Struthio camelus: one gene and its partners. The protein of the gene in region 1 purifies or fractionates together with the protein of each later gene. This does not show direct contact. Links are inferred from orthologs where the notes say so. Each region holds a gene or a part of one and is shown on either strand. Other genes may lie near its edges.

Evidence for each region. Proteins that work in one complex are often made in the same cells at the same time.
Region 2: the proteins of RPA3 (region 1) and SMARCAL1 purify together in Homo sapiens (affinity purification with mass spectrometry; 3 studies listed by BioGRID and IntAct, with this or other methods). This does not show direct contact. The link is inferred for Struthio camelus from reciprocal best matches to the Homo sapiens genes RPA3 and SMARCAL1.
Region 3: the proteins of RPA3 (region 1) and RFC1 purify together in Homo sapiens (affinity purification with mass spectrometry; 3 studies listed by BioGRID and IntAct, with this or other methods). This does not show direct contact. The link is inferred for Struthio camelus from reciprocal best matches to the Homo sapiens genes RPA3 and RFC1.

Annotation. Positions count from the first base shown.
Region 1 is NC_090943.1:29,918,217-29,925,746, reverse strand, and holds the start of RPA3 (replication protein A 14 kDa subunit), read left to right. Parts: upstream 1-4,456; 5' UTR 4,457-4,675; coding exon 4,676-4,774; intron 4,775-5,086; coding exon 5,087-5,161; intron 5,162-7,122; coding exon 7,123-7,231; intron 7,232-7,530. UniProt on the Homo sapiens protein: As part of the heterotrimeric replication protein A complex (RPA/RP-A), binds and stabilizes single-stranded DNA intermediates that form during DNA replication or upon DNA stress.
Region 2 is NC_090947.1:29,554,694-29,561,954, reverse strand, and holds the start of SMARCAL1 (SWI/SNF-related matrix-associated actin-dependent regulator of chromatin subfamily A-like protein 1), read left to right. Parts: upstream 1-4,170; 5' UTR 4,171-4,257; intron 4,258-4,265; exon of another isoform or gene 4,266-4,382; intron 4,383-4,429; exon of another isoform or gene 4,430-4,531; intron 4,532-5,195; exon of another isoform or gene 5,196-5,341; intron 5,342-5,725; 5' UTR 5,726-5,814; coding exon 5,815-6,685; intron 6,686-7,261. UniProt on the Homo sapiens protein: ATP-dependent annealing helicase that binds selectively to fork DNA relative to ssDNA or dsDNA and catalyzes the rewinding of the stably unwound DNA. Rewinds single-stranded DNA bubbles that are stably bound by replication protein A (RPA).
Region 3 is NC_090945.1:61,775,184-61,782,680, forward strand, and holds the start of RFC1 (replication factor C subunit 1), read left to right. Parts: upstream 1-4,406; 5' UTR 4,407-4,534; coding exon 4,535-4,537; intron 4,538-7,497. UniProt on the Homo sapiens protein: Subunit of the replication factor C (RFC) complex which acts during elongation of primed DNA templates by DNA polymerases delta and epsilon, and is necessary for ATP-dependent loading of proliferating cell nuclear antigen (PCNA) onto primed DNA.

The DNA of each region.
Region 1 (7,530 bases):
GAAATCAGAGCTGTGGTTGCCCCACGCAATCACATTTTTTCCTCTTTGAGATATACATTATTGTGCAGTTTTCAGTACTAACACACAGTGTTCCCCTTCCTCTCTTTCTTGCACATACAAAGGAAAGCATCTTATTTAATATACATGTAATGAAGGTACAATGGAGTTGTACAGGAATCCATACTTTTATCATCTTTTAAATCCTGCATATAATGTACATAAACTTAGGAACTTAAAAAAAAAAAAGATCACAGATGTTTCAATTCTTTGCCAAATTAATGTTACGAAAACTTTAACATAATAGATGTTTTCCTTTTGCTGACAGAAGGTAGGCCTTTCCAAATACCCCAAATGTTTTAAAAACACAAAATTCACCTGATCTGCACACGGCTTCATCTTTACTTTGTAGTTTACAGCTTCTGTAAGTAGTTTTTTTTAAACTGATTTGCACTACCTGCAGTATTTCTCAAAAACAAAACGATTCCCCCGTCCTGGCTTGAAAATGAAAAATAAACAAAGCAAAGTATCCCATAAACTCAGGCCTCAAGTTCTTACTGATGAAAGCACTGGTCCAGACGGAAGCAAACAGCACCTGTTGTCTTTTGCGGTTGTGAATGTTGGGAAGGTGGTAAGGAACCTGCATATTAAAAGACTAATATGCTTTGTGAGGCTCTTTCTTCCTCTGGTGTTCACCACTTAAGACACATAACTAAATCCTAAATCACATAGATCCACATAACTCTCATGAAGTAAGGAGTATGCCAACTACTACTTGCAGTATTTCAGTATCTTTGCTGAAAATAATTATTAAGTTTAAGCTTAACAAATATTCACTAAAAAAAATAGGAGAGGGCACACAGAAACAAAAAGTAGAGCAGTATAAAGTATGCACATATGTAAAGGAAAAGTTCTAGATAGGCAACACTATGGCTGGTATTTGTGATATTTGCTCTCTTAAGAATTTTATCAACTGTGGTACTTTGGAAGTAAACATACACCTCTCAAGCAATGTGAAATGTAACTGCTAAGTTTCCTGAATTAAATGTTAAGAAGAGAACAAAGCCCCTGCCCAACAAAGAAACACTGAGTTGAATGGAAACAGTCATGCTCTTGAAGATAAGAACACAGCTTAAGCACTTGCATAACCAGGCTGAAGTTTTACTACTTGTGGATATGATGGGGTTTCATTTAACTAACACTGAGAGTAACTGGTTTCTGCACAAGTTTAACTTCAGATTAAAAACTAAATTTGAAGTTTGTGGACTTGGATGCGTGGTCATATAGAATAGAAAGAAGAGAATTTAAGTTCTTTGGTTTTTTTTTTTTTTTTTGAAGCTGACAACACAAAATCTCAGAAAATACATCCACCATTCAGGGAAGTACCACAGTCCTGCAGCAATGTCTCCTATATAACACAGCACTTTCCCCTCCAGATGGGATTAATTTTATTTCTATAGAAGACCTGAAATTGAATTCACTGCCTAAAGATAAAAATCTCCCTTGACAGAAACAAGCAATTCCCTTTGCCTTATGTTTCACCCTCACCAAAAAGTGAACATAATTTTTTCTTCCTTCAATCTCAACTGCTGATAGTTAAGAATAATGCTTTTGGCACCACTTCAGTCATTAGCAAGCAATAAACTGTGAACTATAGCAATTCTGTGGAACTACACAAAATATTTTGTCTTTATGTGAGGCTCTGAGAACATACATATGATTGGACAAAGATGAGTTACAGAGCTGTACAAAGGGGTTAATTTGTTCCTTGTGTTTTTTGTCAGTCTCATTTGACAAGAAGCATGGGTGACCTGAGAGTCAAATCAGTATGTTGCATCCAATAAACTTTGCATACAGTGTTTATCCTGGCATATTCAGCATTACTTTTCAGCTCTTTTCCAGGATGCTTGCAAGTGACAGGAAGAGAAAGGTAATTAAACATTAAAAAAAAAAAAAAAACAATGATGCAGTAATCTGCAATGATGCAGATATACAGAGGAGGCCCAGGAATACAGCAAAGCAGAACTGCAGTGGCATTCTCAGTAATTATATGAACAATGAAATTAGATCAGAACAATGTACAAAACTTGATTTAAAAGAACCCAAACAACTTCACATCTAGCAGTTTAAGCTGTATAATCTATGGAAGCAGAAAACAGAGTGCATTGCAGAGATTCTCAAACCTTTTCCATATTAGTATGCACTATGATTCACCAATAAAAGTAGCAATATGAAAAAGAGCGAGATGTTTACAGCCCTGTACAACCCTTTCTGTAACATGAAAACAACCAATTTAGGAGTCAAGAATGTGTGTGTTAAAAAGAAGGTATCTCTGTAACACTGAAAATGCAGTTTAAAAAGGTTCTCACCTAGCATAAGTTACTATCTTAAGAAGTACAACAGATTATGTCTTTTATTCTTATTAGTCATATATCTCTTTAGCTCAGGCTTCTCGAAAGCATGAGAAAGGAAAATAAGTATCAACAAATACAAAAAAGGGAAATACTTATAAGAAACACTAATAAAGACTTTCTCACATACATAAAAATTTTCATGAAATTTTACGGAAGAAGAAACACCAAGACCTATGCAATCCAAATTAACATTGTATAAAAACACTCAATGATGCAGCAAAAAAGCATGATAAAAAAGTAATTACGATGAAGTTAGGCAATAAAAGCGTAAGTGACAAAGGCAAAGTCAGGAGTTTTCAAATAGCAGATCTCAAACTAATGTCAACATTCTCTAATTAAGAAAACTCTCTGGAAGTAATTAAGAAAACTCTCCAGAAGATAAAAGATGCTAAGACTGAAAGCCAGGTATTTATTAGATACATTACCCTTGTTAGGCTGCAAACCCATTTCTTCCCCAACAAGCAGTTCTCTTTTTGACTGCAAAGCTTCAACAGCGACTATGCATGTTACAGGCATACACGTGTAAAAATTTTTAAGATGTATTTTTCTAACAGCTGACCCTTCAAGTTTGGCAGGCACCAAAGGCCCTAAAAGGGCCACTTTGCAGCAGCGTGCTGCATCTGGGCTCCAACTGTCATGTTTACGATATGTTATTCAGGTTACGATATTCTCTGGCAAATGAACTACTGAAAAGGTGAATGGCATAGTGACAGGAGATAAGACGACATCCAACTGCAGCCCACCAAAGCCACGATCCCACCGCCCTCTCATTCCTGGCTGCGTGCTGGTTCTGCACAGGCTCTGGCAGCAGAATGATTCCTTGGTGATCTGGCTCAGCTTGCTCAGCCTTCACAAAACTATCCCAGCAGAGTAAGAGTCGCTTCCTGCTAGTTAGCACGCTGAATTAACCCACTTTGGGTCAGAAGAGACAGCCAGCGCATGGGTAGTGTTGGCCTGCGCTTTTAAAGCACAGTGTAGTGCTAGATTGTTTCAAATGTTTCCTGAAATGTGAGTCTTGGGAAGGAAAGCTGAAGGAACTTCTGTACACAATGGAAGATTTGTGAGAAAACACCGAGAAAGGGGAAATATTATGGTGAAGGCACTCATGTACAGATTTTAGCTCCGTCTTATGCCAGTTAGTTGCTGCACTTCAACAAACGGAGATAACTCACTCTAACTCCCAGGACCAATATGGCAGCAAGCCTATGTTCTTTAGTATGAAATGTTCAGATATTGCTTCTGTAACAGCCATGGGGCGTTTTCAATGTAATCACAGAAATGTCAACAGTGTACACCTCTGTAAAACAAGTAAGAATCAAGAAAGCATAGCTTTAGCAGTAATACTCTGAAGTAAGCGCAGAATGAGTTTCTAAAGGGCTAGACAAAATGGTGAAAAGTAGTCAATACAGAGCAAGGCTCTCGGGTAAGAGGAGAAAGAAGTGTACTTTAAGAGGAAGAGATATGGGGAAAAAGGGCTAAAGGGCAAAATATGTATCAGACAGAGGCCTGGAACTGGAAAAAAAAGGAACATTCATACATATTTTGATTCTGAATAACGGGGAAGATGTGGGGACGAGTAAGAGCAATACTGAGAGACGCATCCCTTTTGAAGTTGTTCCCTGTCTCAGCAGCCGGAAGAAGCGCACTGCCGGCTGAAGGGCAGAGGCAGGTCTTTTAAGCTTTTCCTTGTGGCGCAAAAGTGAGCAAAGCAGCCGATCGGGATCTTCAAGGAAATAGGAGGGGAAAAACAGAGAGCGGGGAGCACGAGCCAACCGCCCGGGCCGCAGCGGCGGGAGCCCGAACCCCGGCCCCGGAGGCCGGGAAGCGCCGCCCCGCGGCAGCTCCCCCCGCAACCGTCCCCGTCCCCGTCCCGCGCCCAACGGACGCTGCCGCCGCCGCCGCCCGGCCCGGCCCACGGGGGGCGCTGGCGCACGGCCCCGCCCCCCGCGCTCACTCACCGGCGCGCCCCCAACCAGCCCGACGCCGACGCCGACGCCGCACAGCCACCTCCGCTTCCGGGTTCCGTCACGCGCCGCCCGGACGCCGCGCGCGCGCAGTTCGTTTCACGCGCCGAACCCACCTCCGCGCACTCCGTCGGACGCAGCGCGCTTTCGATGACGTCAGGCCGCGGGAGGTAGGGCGGGGGGGGGGGCTTCTCGCTGAGGCAGGCGATTGGCAGGCGAAGGGGAAGTCCCGCCCGGACGCCTCCCGCGTTGCCAGGTAACGGCGGCGGCCCCCCGGTCAGCGCGGGAAAGCGGGCGGCGATGGGGGACGTGCACGATGTGCCGCGGCCGCGCATCGCCACCGGCCACCTGGCGCGCTACATCGGGCAGCCCGTCTGCTTCGTGGGCCGCGTGGAGAAGGTACCGCGGCCCCTGCCGCCGCCGGCTGCCCCGCCGCGAAGCGCGCGGCCTTCCCCGAGCCGCCTTCAGGCGGCCTCCCCGGCGGCGGCCGGAGGGCCCTGCTCGCCGCGGGCGCGGCCGAGGCTGAGGGGCCGCGGCCGCTGAGCCCCGAGTCGGCCCCCGCCGCGGGCGGGCGGGCGGGAGCTGGCCGCAGCGGCGCTGCTGGGTCCGGTGGAGAAACACCGGAGCTCCTCCGCTGTTCTGGCGTAGAAGAGCTACGTCTGTAACGTTTGCAGCTGCGTTTTGAGCAGGCGGACTTGGTTTCTTTTGTAGATTCACCCTACTGGGAAACTTTTTGTCCTTTCGGATGGAGAAGGAAAGCATGCAACTGTGGAGCTGAGCGAACCCGTAAGTTGAAGATCGCTTTAGAAGTAATTGGCATTGCCGTTTTTAGATACCGGCGGCTTTGTCTTTTCTGAATTTTGGGCATGCCTTGAACGTACTGCGTTTTTAGTCAGAAAAAGCAAAAGATCTCCCTTGTTTTTCACTTTTGCACCTGTTTTTTTTCTCTATGCTCCTTGCACCTTCAACTCAACTTGCGTAGTCCTGATGTTAATCAGCTCAGCAGTTTTCAGGTGGTGTAAGACACTCAGTTCATTCCCTTTTTCCAGTGACATTGCTAGTTGGCTACTTCATCTTACTCTGTTTGTTGCTTACAATGTGAAATACTTTACTATATTGCTTTAGTTTTGTTATGCTTTCTCTTCTCTCTCTCTTTTCTTTATTGTCTATCTTTGTATTCCTAACAGATTATTTTGTAAAGATAGTCCAAAAAAACCTCCAAGAAATTGGTATTCTCTTGAGCTGACATTTTACTGATCTCTTAGAACACTTCTCGTTGTATTCCAGTGAACTTCATCATCAGCTTGAGCGTTCTGTTGAAAAAAATCATTAAGCAATTATGCATTTCATATACTCATTGCATATAAATGCTGCCAGGAAGTTTTGTTTCGTGTGTTATCACGTTCCTCTCTTATCACTAAAGGAATAAGACACTCGTGTTCTCTTCTGTCTTGCAAGTTTTTCCAGTTATCAGGTAGTGTACCTATGATGGCAAATGCTCTGGCTTGTCCGAATATATCCATAGTGTTTCCATCGTTTATGTGAATGAGTTGTTAAACACTGAAAAATCTACCATTTCCTGTGAATTAGTTCTGTGTCATACTCGCTGGCTTTCAAGATAGGAATCTCACCTTACTGAATAAAAATGCAGTTGGATCTGGCAAAGAGTTCCGTTTTATAAATGTGAAACTTGCTGTCTTCAACTTCATCTTGTGGGAAAGATGTTTTCTTGCAAGTTCTACCCGTTTCTTAATTCTTACATGAGCTCGTGAGTTTTCCTGTCTTGGGTTGTTACACTTCAGATATCAGCATCTGATTAATGATCCTACAACTTTCTGTAACAGAGTAAATGAGCAAAACTTAAAAATGCATAGTTGTATTAGACATTTCACAGTCTGTGTTCCAGTTCTGCATGAATAGGTAAAGGAGGAGAAACTAGGGTGTGCGGAAATATCATGCCAGGCCCATCTCTCTAGTTTGCCTAACATAAGTAGAGAGACTTCTAGATTTCCCTGTCAGAATGCTTCTAGCTTTCTTCCTTTGAGAGTTTCCTCTGTTTCTGTGTGTGTAGTCCCTCCTTCCAACAGAGAAATATAAAATTATGCGGGGAGAGAGGAGATCTATTTCTATGTTCCAGTAAGCTTACTAGAAGGTTAAAATAAGTATAAGGTTAGTATTAGAAGGACATTATAGAAATAGTGTCACACTCTTAAAATGAGTAAAAAATAATAAAAAAGTAAGTTAAATCTACATGAGTTTGTGGTAAGATATAATTTTTATTTTTAGCTTTTTTTTTTCTTATTCAACCAAAAGCTTGTTAATGCCATTGTCCTTGTACTCTGAACGCTTCTTGACAGAGCACCTGAGAAAGCTTCTAGGAGACTTTACTGTATTATTCTTCTGCTGACTGAGTCCTAGATTACTACCTCTGCGCAGTGATTAAATGACACAGCTGTATATACCCATTACAGTGTTATCTTCCTTCTGATGGTTCTTCATACTTCTTTTCTTTCTCTGTTGAGAACTTAAATGGCTGTTACAAAAAACTGTACATCTGTAAATGACTCAAAGCTTTTGCTTTTTTTTTTTTTCCTTTTCCCCCAGTAGTATTGTATTGCATGACACAGAACAGAATCTTTTGTAATGAACAAACCTTCAGTTTGCTGAGAGTTTCTAGCTCAAGTTCTGTGCAGAGCAGACTGTACTTAACTTGGTGATGCTAATGTCATTTTTGGTATGTTCTCTAGCTAGATGAAGAGATCTCAGGAATTCTTGAAGTAGTGGGAAGAGTAACAAGTCAGGCAACCATCATGTGTATGTCATATGTCCAGTTCAGAGAAGATAAAAGTCCTTTTGGTAAGTAAGAATATACCTTATAACAAACTAATTTTGCATTCAGAACTTGATTCCTGGAAGAAGGCAGAGCCAGATAATCCTTTCTTTTGGATAATGTCATTCTTCAAGCTGTCAGATATGGAGAAGAATGTAGGAATGGGTACTACCATGGGAAAAACTATACACGGAATATACTGCCGTACTGCTGAACTGTAGGCAGGATCTCAAAGCCTGAGCTGATCTAGAGTACTGCCATGGTCCAGTCATTCCTCTGCTCCCAGCCACATGGTTCTTTATCCTACATTACCTTGCACTGGAGC
Region 2 (7,261 bases), on another chromosome or scaffold:
CTGGGGCTGTCTTTTGGAAAAGCCCTTGGCATCAGCCCTTACATCTCACAGAAGCCCAGAGCTGCTCTGCCAACTCCTCTTGGTCTGCAGCATGCTTTGAGGTCCTCCAAAGAGAGACACTACTGCTGTGCAAGAGCAAAGGACCATTAATATTACACTGGTGGATAATTATTTAGCATCAGTGACCTCTGATGCTCCTGCTTTAAGGATTTATCTGTATCTCTGGGTCTCTTGCGCACCAGGAAGAGAAAGGGCCAGAGAACCATGGGTAGTTTTAACCAACAGAAGCTCAAAAGTTGGCTTCACATCAGTACTAAAGCTATAGGATTAACTGTTTATTCTGAGCTTGAAAACTAGGCCAGTAATTTAGGCTCCAGAATAGAACTGGGAGGGCAACTTTTGTTTCTTTAGCCTGGTTTCCTAAGGAAATAAAGCTTATGCAATTAAGTTATCTGTGCGTACATGTGGGCCTCCCCTTTTAACTTTGCCTCCTTCAGCCAGTTCAACCATGTTTCACCAAGATAATGTTTTGTTCTGCATTTGGGGAAACAAACAGTTGTGTAGACCAGAGGGATGTATGATGGCCTGAACTCAAATATATTATAAGACATCGGGGGGTCCAAATTGCTAGTGCCTCCCAGAACTAGATCACACCTCACTTTGTGTTAAATGCTGGCAACACAGAGGCTTTGGAAACCCTGTTTGCATCTTAATGTAGGATATTTTTTTTCTCTTTTAAATCTTTATTCCAGGTGCCAAAGAACTGTCCCACACACCTGAGTTCTATCATATAAAAAAACAAGAGTCAGCTCAGCCTTGCAGCAACCATGTGAGTGTGGTGGAGGCCTGGCAGTGAGGCAGAGGCCATGTGCTGTGCAGACCATTGCTCTGGACTGGAGCTGTGGAGAGGAATCCAGCCAAGAAGGACAGACGGCAGAGAAGAGCCCCTGCAATCTGTTGGAGGGGCTGCACAATAAACAAGAGCAGGAAGGCTTCAACATGCTAGGGGAGAGCAAGCTGTGTAGATAAAGGCGGCTGCTTCAGAAGAGTGGATGGTGACTAATTTTCTTTGCACGGGGTGGCCAAGGAGCAGGGAAAGAGGATTCTTCTTCACTGAGCTGGCTGTCAGAGGGGGGAGCAATCCTCACATGTTAGAAATACCGAGAGAAAAGGCTCCACAGGTCCCCTTTCATTAGGGTTTTAAGGGCAGCTGGGCTCCAAGTTTTAAGGGCTCCAAAGTTCAAATTTTGTCTTTGGTGATACAAAGAAGCTCTGGGAAAGGGTCTGATTCAGAGTGGAGTTGTGGTAGTAGCTGGGCTGTCAAATGGGCCAGTAGGCCATTGTCCTTGATGTGCCGAGGCAGAGAGAAAGTAGAGGGTATTAACAGATGACTAAGAAAAGAAATCCGGGAAGAACTGCTCTGGGAGAATATGGGGTCAGCCACTGTGCCCAGGTCCAACCCTGAACCCCAGCACCTGTGGGAGCTCTGAGCATGGGGTTCTGGCTCTCCATTAGGAAGCTTTGACCCTGCTGAGGACCCCAGACCAGAGAGGAAGGAGCACAGCCCCTCAGCCCACGGATCAGGTGCTGTAGAAAGTATTCAGCTCAGATCCTAGCAGCTCAGATGACAGATTGGTTTTCCCCAATGAGCTGTGCCAGCCCAGGGGCCTTTCCCTGCCTCCTCTGCCCTTAGACCTTCCTTGAAGGACTTGTGTGTGACCTGCACATTCTCACTCTGGTCACTTGACTGGTTTTACCTGGGAAGGAGCTGATAAAGCCTATGGTCTTGGGCTTAATTTCTTTTAAAGGGGGTGACTACAAGTACACCTCGGCTGGTCAAAGGTGAGTGTGTTTGGGAGCTGATAATGGTGTTGCTGAGCTCCATGCGGGCTTCTGAACTCCTCTGAGAAGTCGGAGCACCCGAGGGCTGTTACTGCATGCCAAGCTCTGTGTTTCTGATTGTCTCCCAGATGGCACCAGGCCTGAGGATATGCAGCGGTGAGAACCATGGAGGTGTGTTTGAAAGGGGATGGAGCAAGGTGAGTACATTCAGCACGACAGCAAGTGAGAGAGCCTGAGAGCAGCTCAGAAGATATCCCCAGATGAAGAACTGTGAGATACAGAACAGGTCCAGGATCCGGGGTCACTAATATTTCAGATATTAGCTGCTGTTTGTACAAGATGTATGACAAATGTCCAGGCAGTTTTGGTTTCTTTCAGCAGGAAGCAGTCAGGATCAGCCAGTCCAGTCCATGAGAGGATCACTACATTTTGAGTATGATCCAAATGATGGAAAGATCCTAGTGAGAGCAGTACTGAGAAGCCTGTTTCCTCAAGCTTTTTTGCTAACTGGAGTGGTTCTGAGGAAGCGGAAGAACCATCTCCTCCCCAGCAGAGCTGGGGTCTGCTAACCCACTCATCCTCTCAGGATTTTCTTACTGCATCTCTGTTCCCTGACCTAGTATGTGGAAGGTGAATCCAAGCCATTGCTGGAAGCATGTTCTGATTGAAAGGACACCTGGAGTGCTACCAGCAAACTGCTTGCAAACGGCCTCTCATTTTGTAGGTCTGTTCTCTGCATGGTTGGGCTGTTCCTTGTGCCTTGCTGAAGTTGTGCCATATGGAGCAAATGCTTCAACGTCTGTCTGTGTGTCTGCCTGACCGTGCAACCCAAGAGCTCTTATCTCTGCAAATGATGCTTTAATTTCATTGTCCTCATGAGCTGGGGACAGTCCCTGAGAGGGGCTTTTCTCTACTTCTCCCAAGTCTATTCTTTTCCAGCTCTCCCAAAACATAAGGAGTCATCACGAGAGCCCTGGAACTGAACAGCCGCTGGAGAGAGAGAAAGTGGCTGAAATACTTGCAGGGTTATGCTCTGTGCTTCCTCCCTCTCTTGCCTGTATGTAACTCCGGGCTCTGGTTTAGCTTTGAGCAGCGCAAAGTGTGACAAGAAAGAAAAAAAAAAACTGATCTCTCATCCCTTCCTTCCTCTCTCTGCCACTTAATCAGCTTGAGGCCACTGGCTCAAAAGGGAAGAAAAGGGCAATCACTGATGATCTGAAATGAGACCACAGGACTGAACATCCTTTCTTACCATGCTCCGGCTCTGCAGGGGGGAGCCCTGGCTTCTGGAAGAATGGTCAACTTTTACTCTTTTGCTGTCTTCCTAAGAGAAACTAAGACAAAACTCTTGGTCCAGATCTCTCCTCAGCACTGTGGCTTTCTTTAAAAGTTGCATGTTTGCGAGTGTCTGCGTGTATGTGCCATGCTCACGTTTGTGTGTTTGTGATTCCTGGGTGAATAACTGCACTCCCGGGGTTGTGCTATTTGTCAAGTCGCACCTCATCCTCGCTGCCTGCCTTGTTTTTCTCAGGCTGACGCGCTCCTGACTAATGGCAGTCACTGCTTCTTAATCAGAAAGCAATTTAAGGATAACCTTTTTTAATTAACAGTGGAGAGAAGACTGAATAAATAAACTGTGAAGCAGCCAGCTGGCTGCTTTGTCCCTAGCTGAGGGGTCTGTCAGGTGGGGGAAAAAGGTATTTGGGGACAGCGACGGCAGGGGCTGAAGTAGAAGGTGGGAAGGGGCTAGGCTGCTACCCAGAGACGATCACTCCAGCTACTCTGCTCTGGTCGCTCACAGGGGAATCATGACTTGAACTGTCCAGGAGGGACAGCTTGCTCTACGTATTTAAACCCTGAAAAGTCCTTTTATTCCGAATTTTAAAATGGAGGCAAATAATTACCTCATTGTGAATTTATTGCCACTCTTTTTCCATGTATTAACTCTGTTTTTAATTTCATGCACTTACTAACACCTCTAAGAGTGACGCCCTTCCTCCCAGGCCAACCAAACCCGGGGCACCAGGACACCGTTGTACGTGTGGTTTTGGGAGCGTGGCCCAAAAGGATTGAGGCTGTGGGGCACCGGGGTAGGGCAAAGGCACGGTCCATCACGGGTAGAAGGGCTCCTGCGCCCTGCATGTTCGTACGAGAGAAACCGGGGCGAGAGGAGGGTGCTGCGGCGCCCGGCTCCACAGCTCGAGCCCCTGGGCCGCGCTGCCCTTCGCGCCCATAAGATGGCGCCGGGAGGAGAAGACTACATTTCCCAGCATGCCGAGCGGCCCACAAACCATCCCAGTTCGCGGCGTGCCACCTGCGGTGGGAGTACTTTATTCTCTAGAGCGGGGCCTGCTGGGAGTTGTAGTCCGCGCGGCTGCGCGCCCTTTGGCGGGGATACCCGGCCTCTGCCATCCGGTGGGTGCGCGGGCGTTTGGGGCGGGGGGCGCTGGGACGTGGCTGCGACTCAGGCGCGCTGCAGGGGAGCTTCGGGGCGATGTGGGACATTGCGGCCTGTAGGGCGGGCGCCGGGCCCCTGAGAGGTGAGGGCGGCCCGGGCCCCTGTTAGGGGTGGGCTCCGGGCCCCTGTGGGGTGAGGGGGCCCAGGCCCCTGTTAGGGGTGGGCGCCGGGCCCCTGTGGGGTGAGGGCGGCCCGGGCCCCTGTTAGGGGTGGGCGCCGGGCCCCTGAGAGGTGAGGGCGGCCAGGGCCCCTGTTAGGGGTGGGCGCCGGGCCCCTGAGAGGTGAGGGCGGCCCGGGCCCCTGTTAGGGGTGGGCACCGGGCCCCTGTGGGGTGAGGGGGCCCAGGCCCCTGTTAGGGGTGGGCGCCGGGCCCCTGTGGGGTGAGGGGGCCCAGGCCCCTGTTAGGGGTGGGCGCCGGGCCCCTGTGGGGTGAGGGAGGCCCGGGCCCCTGTTAGGGGTGGGCGCCGGGCCCCTGAGAGGTGAGGGCGGCCCGGGCCCCTGTTAGGGGTGGGCGCCGGGCCCCTGTGGGGTGGGGGGGCCCGGGCCCCTGAGAGGTGAGGGCGGCCCGGGCCCCTGTTAGGGGTGGGCGCCGGGCCCCTGTGGGGTGAGGGGGGCCCGGACCCCTGTTAGGGGTGGGCGCCGGGCCCCTGTGGGGTGAGGGAGGCCCGGGCCCCTCTTAGGGGTGGGCGCCGGGCCCCTGTGGGGTGGGGGGAGCCTAGGCTGGAGAGTGGGCGCTGGGACAAGGGAGCCTGGTGTTTGGGAGAGGAGTGGGGCAGGGAGTGAGCCCCACAGTGCAGGGAGAGGAGGGCAGCCCCCAGGATAGGATGCTAGGAGTAGGTGAAGCGAGGCCAGTTCCTGGGAAATGCGGTGGGAGCTGGGTCCTTGTTCCCATCAGAAGGTCCTTGAACTGGAGTGGACCTTCCTCAAGGCAGGAGCTGACCCTGCCCTTTGCAGCAAAGTATTTCTGCTCTATGCTGTGAACGGCCTGAGGACTGGAGGACGCTCAGGAAAGATGGGGTGTGGTCCCTTCTTTTTTGTTAGGTACCAAAAATGTGAAACACTTCCCATACAAAACTGTGCAGATTAACTGCTTTGCATGCATTTGCCTTTGTGGGGCAGCCTCTGTGCTGCAGGGTGTCCCTGTGTTTGGCCTTTTTATCTGAACTGCCAACAGCTGGGATTGGGGAGGAATGGTGCCCCAAGCTGGCACTGGAGTGGTATGAGCAGGTTCTCCTTTTTCCATATGCTCTATCTATGTGGAACTGCCCTGCAAAGCCTAGCAGCGGTTGTCAGCATCTGCATGCTGACAATGGCTTAGCATTGACCTGACAGCTTTGCTGTTTTTGTGTAGGATCAGTTACAGTAGTACCTGATCACTAAGAATACCTACAGAGTTGAAACTTCCTGTCTGCTATATTTTTATAGGCTGGCCTCCAATCCTGTAAAGAAGCAACTGCCCTGAGATTAACTCCCGATGTGGTTTTGATTCAGGATTATTATTTGAATTGCTGAAGATGTCATCAGGCCTTACAGAGGAGCAAAAGAGAAGAATCGAAGAGAACCGCCAGAAGGCCTTGGCTAGGAGAGCAGAGAGACTAGCAGCCCAGAGAGGTGGGCAGGTGGGGAGCACTGAACCTCAGCTGAAAGAGCGCAGTTTACGCAATCAGGGAAACTTGAAGCAAGAAAACGATCATGTCAGGTTCATTAGCCAGCACCAACAGAATCCGAACAGTCCTAAGGAGCAGAAGAGCTATCTTCATAAAGATTATAATCATTGCACTGCAAACCAACAGATGGCTGGCTCACATGGAGAGCAACAAAAGAATTGTTCGGAGGACTCAGAACAAGCAAGTGGCATTAAGCAATTCCCTGCAACGATTCCAAATTCTCTGAGTTATTCCCATCAACATAACTCAGGTGCTGATGGCCAGAAACACAATCAACAAGCTTTAATTAATCTTGGTACATTCCAGCAGTCCAAGTACTACCCAGCTTACAAAAACCCTACAGAACTATCTCATCCCAGATTAATAGATAACTGGCACCCTGGTGATATTAAAGATTTACAAAGTCAGAGCAAATCTGCCACTAAATATGTTTCACCACCAAGCAGCACCACCCCAGGTGATTCAGAAATGCTGATAAACACAGGCAGATCAACAGAAAAAGAGGGAGGAGGTGGTGCCTCTCAGGCCAGTGGTAAGGTGCAAAAGCTGACCAGCTCTGCTGGTGCAGGCTCTACCTTTGAAGCTGTCTCTCACAAGAAAGCATGCAGTGTTACAAAAGGAAAGTGTGTGAAATATGGAGAAGATCGATTCCAGGTTGAAATAGGGTATAATGCCGAACTCATTGCTGTGTTTAAGAAGGTACCAAGCAAAAGCTACGGTAAGATTTGCTTGTTTGCTCATATCTCTGTTTTACATTGGAACAAAATTTCAGCATCTCTTGGAACTGTAGTTGATATATGCTCTTAGCAATGCATCTGCTGTTAGGGTGGAATATGGAATATTAATGGGGGATTGGAAGTAAAGGCAGTTGAAATTTGGAAAGAAATTCAGGGACTGAATAGCTTGAACTTGGATTTAGCCAAGAAATCAGAAGTCCTGACTTATGAACCATGCTGTGAGATGATTAGTGGTGCCAGCTGGTCAGGGTCTTTTGGGAATGATGGAAGAGAAGTTATTCATAAACTGATGTGGGAAAATGGGTCAGTCTGAATTCAGCTATCACTCAGAGTTGATGGGCTGATTCTGTTAACTGGGTTACTGACAGGACTAAAGCCTGCACCTTTTCTGGTTGCTTCTGTTCTTTTCTTCTGGCTGTTATTTGCATATTTATTATTGTTAGTATTTTTTTTTCTCCTCTGTTGCTGCTTTCTGTGAATGGCTGCTGCATTGTTCTTACATTGTACCTTCTGACTTCTTGGGGGACCATGTACCTGAAAACCTGGGCATGCTGTTT
Region 3 (7,497 bases), on another chromosome or scaffold:
CGTGTCACATGTTCCTTTTTTATCACATGGAATAGCATTTTGAAATACTTATTGGGATGGTTATTGCATGACTGTAATCCTCCCATTTTAACATTTAAAATGCTTTGATCGCATAGATCATACTTTATGAAAGAGAAAACCCAAACACAAGTCATTATGGATGCCACTGTACCTCAAAAGTAGACAGCTGCCATGACTACCAGATATTTGAGATCAAAACACTCATGACAGCTCTGCAACATCATGGCTGTGCACTGACAAAGTAAAGACAATAGGCTTCTCCCCAATAACTACAGCAGAGCTAGTACAACTTGCATCTTATTGCAGACAACACGGTGCATCAGCATGAGATGTGAGCAGTGTAGTGGACTTGTGCTCACAGATGCTTAATCTGGCCAAAGTTATGAACTGCACTTCTTTTCTCGTTTTTGATGTGCCTGGGAGCATGCTTTAATCAAGATTTCAAAAGGTTTCCCACTATAAGACCGTGAATCTAGTTTCTTACTGTTTTGTCAGATTTAATAGTACGGGCTATCATGTTATTTGATAAAGTTAGAAAGAGATTAAACTGATGAGAGTCATATAAGGACGTGAACTTGGGAAGAAGGTTATGATTAGCTGAATGACGAGTTGGGGAAAGGAAAGGCTCTGACCTTTAACTTGGAAAACAAGTAGTAAAGACCAGTGAGATCTGATCAGGAACAGCTGAGAAGCGGGGGTGCACAGGGAGGGGAAGAGAAGAAGAAGGAATAAATGATGCCACTAGCTCGAGTGGCAGAAGTCAGTGTTGGCTCCCACCCTGATGCCGCAAGCAGGTGTCAGCGTGATGTTACATAGCGCAATTTCCTGCCTCAGGCTGTGCATGTGATGAAACTGGTTTCAGAATGAATTGAGGCTGAAAGAGTCTGGGATCTCCAGGGCACTTGCCAATACAGCTACATCAGTTGGGAGGCCTAACGGACTATGCTGTTCAATTCTCACCTATCAAACTTCCTTTTCTGTCCTTGCCTCTGTGAAGATAAGTGATTCAAATTATGAAACCAACTTTTGACTTAACCTTTAATTATGTATACCCCTTGTTTTATGGGCTCAGCTTGAAAACTCGGAGTTTGATCTGCAGAAGTGCTGAGCGCATTAGCCAGAAAGAATGGAGTCTGAGTGTATACAATGTTAGTCTGAGTTAAGACACAGTCATTCTGCCTTTAGATATTCAAATGAAGATAGAGAAAAGATTTAAGGACAAAGTTCACTCAGAAAAAGTGCACTGTTTACATTAACATCACCTACTGAGACCTAATAGTTTTAAGCACTCAAAAAATCACAACTTAATTTATGTAATTGCTCTCAGCAGTGTAACACATATCAAAGACTTACCTCAAAGAATTACACAGCAAAAACTGCTTGAGATGGGATCAAATCTTTTCTAAAGACACAAAATTGTGATGGATACATAGAAAGCCTAACGTAAACAGAACCTAGATGACAGATTTACAAAGAATTTTTGGAATTTTTGGTCTGCAATAAAATACAAATTCCTATTTCTACAATGTAAGAGAAAACCATTTGTTATTACTAGAGACTCTAGTAAACATCATATTCCCTACAGAATTCATCTAACAGAGAGAAACATTACCATCTAGTAAGAGGACATTTCGATACTTATCAACGCCATTTAAAAACGTTGAATTTAACCTGAAGTTTTAATTTCAGGAAACACATTGTTGTGTTTTCCTTATCATCACAGCATTATAATAGTATACTTCTTTAGGGCAATTCTTAACCTGTGAGGTCCTTTGAATATATATGAGGTTCAAAGAACATTAGCCGTGTACCATGACACATTGCAAAGATTTCTTAAATGATTGAAGTGTGCTGTGCCCTAAAAACACCGAGAAACACTGCCTTGTGGACTTCAAAAGTATCTCAGTATTATGTTACAGGTTTATCTGCTTTGTACTTAGATAAGTTTCAAAAAAACACAAAATACAAAATTTGGAATAACTCTAAAGAAAACATTGCTTCAAAATAGTTACAATAAAAGTTGATTCGGTTCTAAAATTGTATCAAACTACTAAAATATAAAAAATCAAATACACAATGACCTAGAAAATATTACCAAAAAGGAAAGTGACTAATCTATTTGATATTTCTCAACATAAGAACATGTATTTTTCTTCACACAACTTTCCCTCTCTATAAACAAGACAAGGGCTTCACTAACAACAGTAAGACTGTTTTTGTTCAGTAAGGAAGAAACTGGAAGCTCATGATTTAATAAATATCTCAGGTTTTAAAATATATTTTGGAAAATATCAACATAAAAATCCCAAATAAACCAGGCAGTAAGTGATTTGCAAAAAGGTAGAAAACAAGTCTGATTTGTTTACTCTTTGGTTTAGTTATAAATAGGATGACAATATTGGGAGTACTTCAGCTATTTTTAAAAAAAAAATAGTACTTTTAATTGGATCATATGCCTTTAAAACATAACCCGTGATCAATGATACGATCAAACGGGATATTGCCCTTATTTTATCTTACAAAGCACATCATAATACAGTGAGTATTAGGTTTTGTTTCCAGTGACACAGCAAGGTTTCTCATACTTGCAGTGGTTTCATAGGCACACATGCAGAAACACCGCGGAGTCTCTCCACTGTAACCAGAAGTGATTTACGGTCATTCCAAGTATTTGGGCTGATCTACTTTACATAAAGGGTTAAACTCTTGCCTTCCAAGAAACATGAACATGTCACAAGCCCACAGGCGCATACTGCTCTGCTTGACGTTATTCTAGGTAGCTTTATCAAATACAAACATAGATAACCACCTGCAATAATTCTTTAACATTATTTAAACAGTTTGTGTGGCTCTTACAAATGTCAGCCATTTAAACTACTCTTAATTTTGGCATTGGGAATAAGTACAGCTTTAAAAATGGCATAATGAGAATTAAATACATAAATATAAACATATCATTAGAGTTGTTTTTCTAAAGTGATACCTTTTTGTTTGCATAGCCATTATAGTCCAAGATTTACGGCATAATTCGCAAAAAATACTGAAATCACAGCCTGTGCTGTGGGGTCTATATTTACTTGCTTGCTCTTCCATTTCTTTATCCAGAAATGCAAATTCACAAGCTACACTAATACTAAAAATATGAAGGAAAGAGTCCACCTGGCCATACTCATTCATAAAAGAACAGTGGCAACTTCTATATAAATAGGGCCTTATAATTATTTACAGCTTAATTTAAGGAATTAAACAGAACTAGTAATAGAGACCATGAGCATTCCTGTTTTCTCAGGTCAGGCAAAAAGATCTATCTTTTATATCTATGCAACTATCTTTGTTGAGAGTTCGACCATGACACCAAGGAGATAGCCTCTTGTTCTTACAAAAAGAGAAAATGAGTACAAGAGGTATGCAAAGGATTAGTACTGTAAGACAAGTACCGATTGAATTTGTACTCTGTACTGCTTTATGAGTGGTTTTCTCAGTCAATGGCAATATTTGAAAGTCATAAATTCAGTTCATCCCCCCCTCCCTGCCCCTTTTTTCCTCCAAGACTATCAGTGAGTAGGGATTCAATGGGTTGGCAGAACAGAGACATCAAATAAATAACTATTATTAAGAAGGGAACTGATTTTTATTTGGATTGCCAAAGGTTTTTCCCTCCCAATGCCCAGCAAGTAAAGAAAGCATACAGGATTTCATAAAAAAAAAAAATCAGAAATAAAGAAGACAGTAGGTGAAGACTGAGCGTAACTCTTATTTTCTCTTCGACCCCTCGGACCCTAGCAGACTGTGAGCTCTCCTTGGCCTTAATGGAGGGGAGAAATCCACATAGAGAAATGGAAGTCTAAGACTTCCTGCACAACTGGGAAAGAAATGAGAAAGAGCCAAATCATATTTAGTCCGTAAGACACGTCGGAAAAGTAATTTAATGCATCGGGCTGATTCAGGTCGGACTCACTGTGACTGCACTGCCGTGCTACTATTTGCCTATCTATTTGGGATGCTTCATTTGCCTCAGTGCACAAAAAACCCGATCCACCTCATGCAGGCACAGCACAGATTATGGTTCAACGGTTAAACTGTCGGCTTTGCTGCTCTGCCGGCGGTGACCGCCCGCAACGCAGGAGACGCCTCTTCCTTCCAGAGCGGCAGAGCTAACTGCCCCGCACCGAGCAGCAGCTGCCCCCCGTTTCCTTCCCGGCCGACCGGCCAGGGCCTGAGCTGTAGCTGCCAAGCCGTCGCGCCAAGCCAAGGCGGAGCGCGTCGGGGGCTCCCGGCCGTTAACGGCACTCTGCCCTGCCCCGCTAACGGTCCTGCCAGCCTGCCCCGCACCCCCCCGCCCGCGCGGCAGGCTCCCTCCACCCCGCCCCGCCCCGCCCCGCCCCGTCCGTCGCGGCTGTGACGCCAGCGCCGCGCGCCAGGTGTTCGGAGTTGGCGCGAAGGCGGGGGGGGGGGGGGCGGGAGCGATGGAGCCGGCGGCCTCCCGCTAACGAGATAAACCGCCGCCAGCAGCATGGTGAGCGCGGCGCCGGGGGGAGGGGGGCCGCGCCGCGCCGCGCCCGGTGCCAGTGGGGGGCGCGGCCTTCCCCCTCCCCTCCCCTTCTCTCCGCGGTTTCTCCCCCCGGGGGGGGCGGGTGGCGGAGCGTTGTGCAGTCTCCCGCTGGGGCGGCGCGGCGCGGCCGTCAGCGTCCCCAGCGCGCGGCAGCGGCCGTTGAGGCTGCTGGCGAACTGGGCCGGCCGGGCCGGGCCGGGCCGGGCCGGGCCGGGAGCGGGGGTCCCGCGCTGTGGCGGAGCGGCAGGGGGCTGCCAGGGCGGGGGCGGTGGTGAGGCCACCGCTGGCAGCGGAGGAGCCGCTTATCCCTGCCCGCCCTGCGGCGCTCCCCGCGCCTTGGGGCTGCGGCCCGGCTTCCCCCCGGCCTGTGCCGCGGTGGCCTGTGCAGGGAAATTAAAGTCGTGGCCAGGGAAGCAGCTTCCCGCGGCTGTATGCGCAGCCCGGGTACCTGAAGAGGGAAGCGGCTGTGCCTGTCTCCGGCCCCCATCCACCCCCAAGCCGATGGCGCAGCAAGGTGCAGGCCGCGAGGCTGTCCGAGCGTGGGGTTCCTCCTCTTCCCAAGCACCAGCGGGCAGTCGGACAACTTGGCCTCTCTTTCCTGAACACAGCCTGTTTGCATCTGCCCTTAGTAAGGGTGTACGTGAGGAGATGTCTGTTTCACAAGTGCACAGTGTGCAATGTTTGTAGAAAGGCTGTTCAAGTCAGAAAAACAGAACTTGATCTGTAAGTGGAAGCAATTATAAATAATGAAGGAGGCAACTCCCCTATGCGGGATGCGCATAGCTTGTAAATGTATGTGTGTGTGCGTTACAAGATTGAATTTTGTCTTCTTCTCTTGATCAATTAAATTTGCTTCTGCTTAGATGGGGTCTGTGTGCAGGTGTTACAAGGTTAACTAAAAATGCTGCTCTATGCCAGCTTCATTCAACTCTGATTTTGAACTCCGTTTACATAGAACTTGACCTTGTTTGTATATTACACCTGACACTCAGCAATGATGGGCAGCACCACCCCACTCTTTCCCAAACTGATACAAAGGTTTGCCAGCACTACAAATCGTGATACTATTAAACCATGATATTTTGGTAGTCTGTTAGCGGTGGTTGACCTAGAGCTACATAGCAGGACAAGAGTTTCTCTGCCTCTCTTGTTCCCCTACCACCATCTCTTTACAAAACTGATCATACTGGGAAGTTTGCTTCCTCCTTTCCCACCTTGCTGGGATAAAGGCTCTCTTCCTGCATGTTGCCTCTTTCTAAGAGGCATGCATCTCACAGTGTTTGGGCCTTTCCTGGAAGGGAGGAAGACGGCCATCATTCTGGGGGGAAGGATGAGCTTCCCCAGTCCATTCCCTTTCCCGTGCTGAAGAGAAGAGGCTGTGCAACCATTGGTGCTGCAGCTGTAAAGAGGGAGGCAAAATGTAGTGATAGTAACCTTGTACCCTGCTCTGTGCTGTGCAAGGACACCACAAGCATACTGGCATTTATTTTATGTACTTTTAAACCTTTTTTCATGTAGCACCAAATACAAGTAGCCCCTATCTGCCTCATTCCACAGCATCTTCTCAGTTCTGCTATACTGATTTGTGTTAGAAAGGATTTACTTTTATCCGGGTTAGTTCCCTGATCCAGGTACCGTGCAAAGGGCTGTATAATGCTACAACTGAGGGAACGAATGACTGGTAGTAGGGGCTACTTGCGCTGCCTCTCTTGCAGCCATACAACAGTTATATGGCCATAACTGTAGTATCACTTGTGTATACTTAGACCTGTGATATTGTTCTAAAATAGTACCTGGACTATATAGTACCTAGACCTCATTTATTACTATTAGTAAGCTTTAAATTAGTGTAGGTATCCATGCAAGTATTACTGGTGTAACTGAAGTGATGTTTGGAATTTGATTTCAGGCAGTGCAGTTTTTGTGGACGTGCCAGGTGTCAAAGCTGATGTGTGCGCAAAACTTGCGCTGAAACAAACAGACTTGTAGATTAGCGCAAATGATTTTTTTGATGCAAAGCTCCTATGGATACACTTCAGAGTACCTAATGAAACTGCATTACTTGTTGTTGCAGTCATTGAGCTAGGTTGATGAAATTCAATTTTCTACCTCACAGTGTAGTTTTGAGATGCAAACTTAGTTGTAACAGTGTTATTCTGGAAAATACTCTGCTTTATTTGAACCCAGTCTTTTAAGAAGACTGCACTCGTTGTGGCTAATAATGCAGTGTTGCATGTACAGTGCACATTCTGACAGGGTTGAGATTCTTCTGTCATTGAAGCATTGGAATAGTTTTGTACTGAAATTTTATCTGCTCTGTGGTCTTTGGTTTAGGAGGCTTTTAAAATGCAGGAAAAAATTGTGAGAGAAAATCAGATTGGAGAGTTTATGAGAGAAGTGTTGCAAAGACAGCTTTTATAACTGAATTTTCTAACCTGAGTATTAGCTAGTCTTAAAAGTTACCCTGATAAACTCTTTGAGTAACCAGTCTTTGCACTAACAAATTGGTTTAAATTCAATTAGCCTTATTTCTCCCCAGTAAAGCTGACAGATAGAAATCTTTCAAGAGAAAACTTGCAACCTGACATGATTCATTTCTGTTCTCTACTACTTCTGCATAAGACTGAGGATTTGAAGCAGTAGTGAAAACTGCCAAGAACTGGACTACTTAGCCGTTAATGAGGTTATACAGTTTTACTAAGATAGCTCAGCAGGAAGCAGTGCACCTGGCTACAGCGTTTTAGGCTGACCAGTGCTGTGCACCAGCTACTCTCCAAATGTAGGCAGACTCATCAGAAATACTGGGCCTTGTTTGGGACCATGGTTGGGTCTCCTCAAAATGTGGTGGTGCAGATGTGGATCAGAATCCCTTGTTTAGTAGCCATGGTTTAAAAGAAGCCTTTAAACTCAATATGCCCAGTCAG